2 linked regions of the Coturnix japonica genome follow. Each later gene encodes a partner of the first gene's protein in a complex. Links are inferred from orthologs where the notes say so. Each region holds a gene or a part of one and is shown in the gene's direction. Other genes may lie near its edges.

The links. Proteins that work in one complex are often made in the same cells at the same time.
Region 2: the proteins of SRC (region 1) and PTPN1 are in contact, whole or in part, in a crystal structure (PDB 3ZMQ), measured with the Homo sapiens proteins. The link is inferred for Coturnix japonica from reciprocal best matches to the Homo sapiens genes SRC and PTPN1. Residues at the interface, in NP_005408.1 of Homo sapiens: Glu527, Gln529, Tyr530, Gln531, Pro532; in NP_002818.1 of Homo sapiens: Arg45, Tyr46, Arg47, Asp48, Val49, Asp181, Phe182, Ser216, Ala217, Gly218, Ile219, Gly220, Arg221, Ser222, Gln262.

The regions. Positions count from the first base shown.
Region 1 is NC_029535.1:4,438,618-4,442,797, forward strand, and holds the start of SRC (proto-oncogene tyrosine-protein kinase Src), read left to right. Parts: upstream 1-1,370; 5' UTR 1,371-1,634; intron 1,635-4,180. UniProt on the Homo sapiens protein: Non-receptor protein tyrosine kinase which is activated following engagement of many different classes of cellular receptors including immune response receptors, integrins and other adhesion receptors, receptor protein tyrosine kinases, G protein-coupled receptors as well as cytokine receptors.
Region 2 is NC_029535.1:12,141,634-12,145,149, reverse strand, and holds part of PTPN1 (tyrosine-protein phosphatase non-receptor type 1), read left to right. Parts: exon of another isoform or gene 1-175; coding exon 176-385; intron 386-697; coding exon 698-859; intron 860-1,426; coding exon 1,427-1,662; intron 1,663-2,580; coding exon 2,581-2,788; 3' UTR 2,789-3,516. UniProt on the Homo sapiens protein: Tyrosine-protein phosphatase which acts as a regulator of endoplasmic reticulum unfolded protein response. Mediates dephosphorylation of EIF2AK3/PERK; inactivating the protein kinase activity of EIF2AK3/PERK.

The DNA.
Region 1 (4,180 bases):
TCTCTGCCCTGCCCCCCCACCGTGTGTTTTTGGTGCTACTGAAAGGTGAAGAGAAAGAAGAAAGAGGTTTCAGGGAAGGGAGTGGAATGCCTCACAAAGAGCATGGGTGGGATGGTGAGAAGAGCAGGGCTGGGAGTGGGGCAGGAGGAGAGGGCAGCTGGAGGGCTGCAGGTGAACGCGCCTCGGGCACAGAGCTGAGCCGTGAGCCGGGAGGGCCCCTGCCAGGGTGCTGCGAGGGCACGTTGCTGAGCCAGAGCCCCAAAGAGGAGAGGCTGGATGCCAGGAGTGTCTGGTGGCCATTTTCAATGTGGGTCTGGGCTCAGCCCGTGCAGCAGCACCTCGGGGCTGGGGCCGAGCCCGGTGCCCGGGGCTGTGCTGCCTGCAGGAGGCTGCGGGGCTGTGGGGCTGGGGCAGCCGCTGTGGGTGCAGCATCCATCCATGCCCTGCTATGCCCTGTAGAATTAACAACACCGAAAGGACTTTCCACGGACACCAGGCTGCAGTCTGGGGCCGCAGCCTCCAATTCATGCAGGGAGCGATGATCAGGCTGCTCCTGGCAGGAAGGCCCCCCCGTGCGATGCGCTGGCCGGTGGGGACGGCTCGGTGTGTGCATGACTCCCGGTGACTCATGGGTTTGTTGGCCCTCGGCAGTGTCACGGGAAATATTTTTTTAATAACTCAAATGAGCCGGGGGAGGGGTGCGCACTGCAAACAAACTCAGTCACCCTCCGCACTGATTCTGAAGCGCTGGAGTTTCCAGAAGCCCCCGCTCTGGTCGCTGTGAGGGGCAGCACGAGGGGTGGGCACGACGTCCACGCTCGTGGCTCCACGGGGAGGCTCACGGCACGCTCTTCTTTCCCTGTTTATTCCCCTGCGCTGAAGTTTTGCCTCCTCCCCGAGATCAGGGGGATGGGGACGAGGATGCAGGAGGGCGCAGAATCCATCACAAAGCGGCTGTTCGCTGCGTGCCCCGGTCGCTATAATAAAAGCGAACCGCAAAGCAGCCGGGTTGTAACCTCAGTGCAAATCACCGCTCTCCTCTCGCCGATCCCGGGCGGGCAGCTCGGAGCCGAGCTCAGAACCGCGCCGCGCTCCCACGCGTGGCCCCGCCGCGACCGGGCGGCTCCGGGACGGGGTGCGTCGGTAGAGCCGCGGGCGGGGGCGGCTCCGGTCGCTGCTCCGCACCCCGCCGAGCCCGGCAGCCCGGAGGCTTCTTCCTTAAAAGAAAAAAAAAAAAAACCCGAGGGGAGGGGCTCGGCGATTTTTCTTTTCTTTTTTTTTTTTTTTTTCCTATAAGCCGTTTCCGGTTTACTGCTGCCATATTCCTAGTTTTTTTTCCCTCCCTGTGGGCTGTTCCCCCCTTACACACACACACACACACACACACACACACACACCCCGTACAAGGGGTGATCGGGGGCGGGGAAGCGGCGCTCCGGATCCGCGGTGCTGCGCGATGCTGCCGGCGGCGCAGCCCTGAGCGTCCGGCACGGCCCGGCCCGCGGTGCGGGCACCCAGAGCGGCGGCGGCGGCTGCGGGGGGCGGCGGCCGCGCCCCCGGCACGGAGACAAAGCCGCGGCCGAGCCCTGGAGGGGAGCGGCGGGGTCCGGCCTCGCGGGGCGCACACGCGGGAGGTGAGCGGGGGCTGCGCGGGGTCCGGCGGCGGGGATGGTCCCCGCGGGGTCCGGCTGCGGGGCCGGCGGGAGATGCTCGCCGTGCGGTGGAGGATGCCCGGGTGGCAGCGGGGCGGCTCCGTAATGCCCGCGGTAACGGCGGGGCGGCTCCGGGTTGCGTGGGGCGGCCGTGGGTCCGGCGGAGAGTGCGCGGGGTCCCGGGGCCGGCTGCGGGGCTGCCGGGGGATGGGGACGGGCCCGCCGGGGGAGCGGAGGGGGGAGCTGCGGGGTCCGGCCCCGCCTGCCCGCACTCCCCTTTGTTGTGATCGGGGGCTGCGGGAAACACTGGGAGAGCAGAGCAGGGAGAGCCGGGCTGTGTGCAGGCCGGGGCATGAAATATTCATCGCCCCCCTGCTTTGATGTCTCCTGCTCCGTTTCCCTCTCGATATTCGCTCGTCGGTGATTCGGGGCTCGTGTCCGCGCTCCGCCGGGCGTTCGCTCTGCCCTCGCCCGGGGAGGCTGCAGAGCCCCGCGCTGCCCGGGGAAGGGCTGTACCCGGCCGGCAGGTTCTCCCGGAGCAGCCCGGCTGCTGTGCGTGTCTCCGCCGCGAGGAAGCACCGTGGGACTTGTCTGAACCACGCCGGGGCCTGGGTGGACTTTCCCCTGCTGACCGTGACCCCATGCAGTGCGCTCGGTCCCCGGCTCAGCCCCACGGCAGTTTGGTTTCCTCTTGACCGTCCCTTCTCTCTGCTGCCCGGGAGCTCTGAGGGTACAGGGAGCAGCTCCCGTGGGTGATGTTCCCCCACTCAGTGGTGTTTGGAGCCCGTAGGGTGCTCAGTGCCTGAGTGCTGGGAATGGGACAGCACTGATCCAACAGCATCGGATGTAAACGGAGCTGTGGGAATGTGGCAACAAAAGACTCAGTTTGGTGTTTTTCCTCCTTCCGTGCTGGTGCTCACCCCTGTCCCCAGGGATGTGATGGGGCATGTGGTGGGATGCCGGTGACCTTGTGCTTGGGAGCAGTGTGATGCTGTTGTTCCCCTGCACTCTTCTGCAGGATGATCCCCTGCTGCTGCTGCTTGTTTGTGCTGCTTCGTGCTGGCTCAATGGTTGGCCCATGGACAAACCTCTGCTGCTCAGTGTCTGAGATGAGGCTCCCTGGGGAGCACTGTGCCACTGTGAGCCTGTCTGTGATCCCACTGCACCTCTCCTTAGCAGGCTGTGGGCTGCACCCATTCCCAAGCTTTGACCTTATCTTCTTAGCTTTGGATCTTATCTGAGCACCTCGTGCTCAGGAGCTTCCCCAAAATACAGCCCGGTGATTTTGGAGCTGGGGTTGCTTATGGGCCATCACAGCAGAGGGATGTGCAGTGCTCGCTGTTAAGATTGTCAGTGGCCTTGCAGTGCTCCCTGTGTGATGGAGATGCCCTACAGATACCTCTGCTTTTGAATGACATTGTCCTGGAGTGACTCAAGATCACCCAGGTGGGTCTGTCTGTCCCAGCACAGCGAGGGAAGGGGCCGTAATTTGCAGAGTCTGATGTGTGAAGGCTCTGCTGCATACACAAGGAACAAACTGGTGGCACAGAGGGGACATGGGCTCCGGGCTGGCTCACAATGACATGTTTTAATGACCAGTGAGCACGTGCCACGTCTGGATGGAGAAGGGGTTGCAGCAAGCCCTGGGCTGGAGCACTCAGTCCACGTGCCTAAGGGGAAGCACAGCCGTGCATCACTGCTGCCCCGCACCACCCCAGGCATGGCAGGGGAAGCACCAAGGGCTATCTGCAGCACTATTGCTTCCTGTACCATCCGTCCTGCAGCACGGTTTCTAACTTGGCCCTTTATCTCTGGGAACCATTTCCCAGCTGACCTCACTTCCTCAGAGCTTCTGAGCTCAAAGCCCTCTCGGAAGTGTGGATGCAGGGTGAGCAGTGTGGGTCAGCTCCCTGGAGTGTGATGCTGTGTGATAGTCTGCTCTGCAGTCTGCTTGGCCAGGGGAAAAAGGAGCTGGTTGGTGTGGGCCATATGCTCAGTGCAGCCCTGCTCTGGTGCTGTGACCTTGGTGTGAGGGAAGTGGCACTGCTTTGCACATGCCTCTGCACATGCACAGGCTGAAAAGAAAGCCTTGAAACAGATTTCATGTGGTTTGAACGTGGGCCAGGAACCAGGACCTGTAAATCTGCGTCTTGCTCTGACTTCCCTCCAGGCTACGGATCTCCTCACTGCCCTCCTGGGCACAGAGCTGGGAATGCTTGGGATGCACTGGGAGCTGCCGGGGGGGGCAAAGCAGTGCTGGAGATGTGGAGGGGATGAAAGCAATAGTGGGGATACAGGGAGGAGAAGCTCTGGGGAAGCTGGGGTCTGGCTGGTGGCTTTGCTTCAGACCTTATGGGGGGCTGCTCCCAGCCCCAGGATGGCTGTGCTGTGCAGAGGTGTGGAGGAGCTGGAATACCCACAGTGTAACGTGAGGGGTCCTGTCTTGAGGTCTGCGTTGGTGAAGGGTTTGGAGAGGAAAATGGGGAACTGCAGCACCCGGAGATAACACAGTCTCACCCCTCAGCCTT
Region 2 (3,516 bases), about 7.7 Mb from region 1:
TGCTGTACACCATTCTGAGAACTGTAGGAGAGTATGTAGGAAAGTGTTTGCTAGGAAAATGAATGTGTGAGGGATTGTATTTGCTCATTTGAACATTGTTGTAAGCAGCTGTAATTCGAATAGTTGCAAAACTGTGTATCCAGCTGAAAGACTTCATAAGCACTGTCTTTTACAGATGCAAGAAACCAGAGAGATTCTGCACTTTCATTATACTACGTGGCCTGACTTTGGAGTCCCAGAGTCTCCTGCTTCATTCCTCAATTTCCTGTTCAAAGTGAGAGAATCTGGCTCACTTAACCCCGAGTATGGACCTGTTGTGGTGCACTGCAGCGCAGGAATTGGCAGATCAGGAACTTTCTGTCTGGTCGATACGTGTCTTCTGCTGGTAAGATCTGCTGTGGAGATGATACGCTGTTTCAGTAGAGTTCCCTTGAACAGTGGTTTCTTCTGGCCTATGAAGAGCTGTGGTGTTTTCTGTGGAGTATTTTTGCACGTTATTTCTCTTATCTTACTCATATTCTAGTTTAAGACAGTCTTTCATTTTAAAACTAAGGTAGTGCAATCTTCCATTTCTGTGTTTTTTCTTAGTGTATTAATTCTGCAATAGGTAGAATGGTCTGAAAGCTGTTCTGTGAAGCCAGTCATCGTATTGAATCTCATCAGAGCATAAAGTGTGTTCCAAATTTTTTATCTTCAGATGGACAAACGGAAAGATCCTTCTTCTGTGGATGTTAAACAGGTTCTCCTAGAAATGAGGAAGTACAGAATGGGACTTATACAGACAGCGGATCAGCTTCGTTTCTCCTACTTAGCTGTAATTGAGGGGGCAAAATTCATTATGGGGGATGCTTCAGTGCAAGTGAGTATTATGGACTGTGGAACCAGATGTATAGTAAGCTGCAACGCGTTTTTTAACTGTAGCATAAGAACAAAACGAGCTTTAAATTCCTTTGGCTTCAATACATTTTTATATTATGCAGTACTAAAATACAACACCTCAGAATACTTCCTGTAGTCCTGTAGACTAATAGGTGGTGCCTGTGTACTTTTCAGCACCGTAACTGGGGCGTAGATTGGCTGCATCTGCCATGTCTTTCATCAGCTTTCTAAGAAGGCAGAAATTTAAGTACTGCAATTAATTCTTACAGCAGAACTAGCAACATAGGTTCTATTTCATGCTATTTAAAATTTCCAGATGTAGATTAAAATTTCTTCCTTTTATAGCTGATGTCTTCAGTGTACTGCAGATAGCTTAGATTTTGTATTATTTTTGTGTCTCTTTTTTCCCCTTTTTTTCAATGCAAATGAACAGGCATGCTAAAAATAAATGAGAAGGTAGAGTGTAACACCCCTGCCAACTTAAAGTTACAGTAGTTTACATAAAATAAACAGTGGAAAACGTAACAGGGCATTTCCTTCCCTGAAGGAACAGTGGAAAGAGCTCTCCAATGAAGATCTGGACCCACCACCTGAACATACCCCACCTCCTCCCCGACCACCAAAGAGAACCTCAGAAATGCACAATGGAAGGATGCACGAACATGCAGAATTCTTTCCTAAGCATCAAGTGGTAGAGGAAGAGATTAGATCCTCAGTCAGCACTGTTGAAGAGATGGTTCCAGATGGCAGAGGTTTTTCATCTGTGCCACTGATCACAGACAGGTAATTAATTTAGTTTCCCACTTCAGCTTGTTCATAAATGGCATTTCATATGGAAAATCCTGAACAGACGCTGACTGAATTAGTATAACAGCAGTTCCAAAACAAAGTCTGTGCATATTTTATGGAAAAGTTCTTCAGCATTTTTTTTAAATCGAGATCCTGCTGTAGTGAGAGAAGTGGCAGCAGAGCAAGGTGGCTTAGTCTCAGTTTACATGTGATGTGTACGTTACATTCAGTTACACAGGAGCTCTTTCACTGGAGGTGGAGCTGAGAGCTGGGCGGATCAGCTTTAGCTGCACTTAGAAATGTGAAATTAATCCTAAGCAAAGCTGGTTTTGATGAAAGGAGTAGAAGGGGCTCACGAACAGAGAACTTTTCTACCTGTCATTGCAACCTCAATTGTCAGGTGTGACAAACACACAGAAGTGCTGTATGACTGTGACCTGTTGGCCACTAGATGGCCCTCCTGCTCCATCCGAGTGGTGTAGAGCTGGTTAACTCATTTCTAAATTCAGATGGAAGTAGCAATGCAGCAGATCTGAAAGTTAAAGTTAATAAGCCTCTCTATATTTCAGTATACTATCAACATGATGGAGGTCTTTATCTAGAAAAAACGCATTAAATCGTATTAAAGATGGAGAAACCTTCAGTTCCATCATTAAAAGCCATCACAGTGCTCCTGGCCACTCTTACAATAGTACAAACCAACCATAATTTCAGCACTTTCTGACTCTTTGAGCAGCTGATTTCAGAACCTTGTTCTCCTCAGCTGGATGCAGGTTGGCCCTTTCTTGTCTCAGTGGCTGCAGAGACAGCAGATTTAGGATGAGCAGTGGAAGTAAGAGGTGGTTAAGGTTGGGTCAGCTCATTCTTTAAAGGGAAAATCCAGCACTGAACGTTTATTTATTTGTCCTTAAGCACTAGTCAAGACACTGAAATTCGGAGGAGAACTGTTGGTGAAAACCTGCACGTCTCAGCACACAGAGAAGAGTCGATGAAGTCAGAAAGCATAGAAGAGGATGATGAGAACATGATGACAACTTGGAAGCCGTTTCTAGTGAATATATGCATGTTCACCTTCCTCACAGCAGGAGCTTATCTGTGTTACAGGGTATGTTTTCACTGATGGACATGCCAGCACCACTGACCCCGCAAAAAACACCAACAATTTGATCGGTTTGTAATAAGCTTCTGTACAAGAAAGCTCCTTGAGGCACGTGAGCCTCATCTCCGCAGAGGCTCTTAGGTTGAAAGGCCAGAACTTTGGGCTTAAAGAGAGAATTGATGCACTAGGGTTTTACTTAGCCCTGTGGTCCCAAGAACGTGATATTCTGATCTCAGGGCCTTAAAATATTCAGGAGTAAACAGAGAAAATGCCAAATAGTCTGTTTTTGTTTTTGTTTTTTGGTTGTTTTTTTTTTTTTAACTAAATAATAGAATTACAACACATTGTTGTTCTTAGCCTTTTTTAAAAAGCCAGTTCTTTTTCTTTTGTGTCTCAGAAAAGCCAGGCGCAAACAAAACTTGCTTGTACTCTCCAAGTGTTGTAGCCAAATACATCACTTACATCGATGAGTTCCCGAGAAAAGAAAAATAAACCCACATACCTGGAGAATGTAAACCTTTTGGAAGGGGCGGGGGCAGCTGCGGTTGGGTGGGTTTGGGGTTTGGTTTGGTTTTATTTTTAACTTGCTTCATCTGTTAAGGACTGAGTTGTGGGCAGTGCCTGTGGTATTGATGTATTTAATCTTGGCAAAACTTTTCTGAAAGAGCTTATTGTTTTACGTTGTTTATAGAAACAGGCTTCTGCATTTGCTCAGGGTATGTCAACATGTCCAGCTCTTTTTTTCTTTT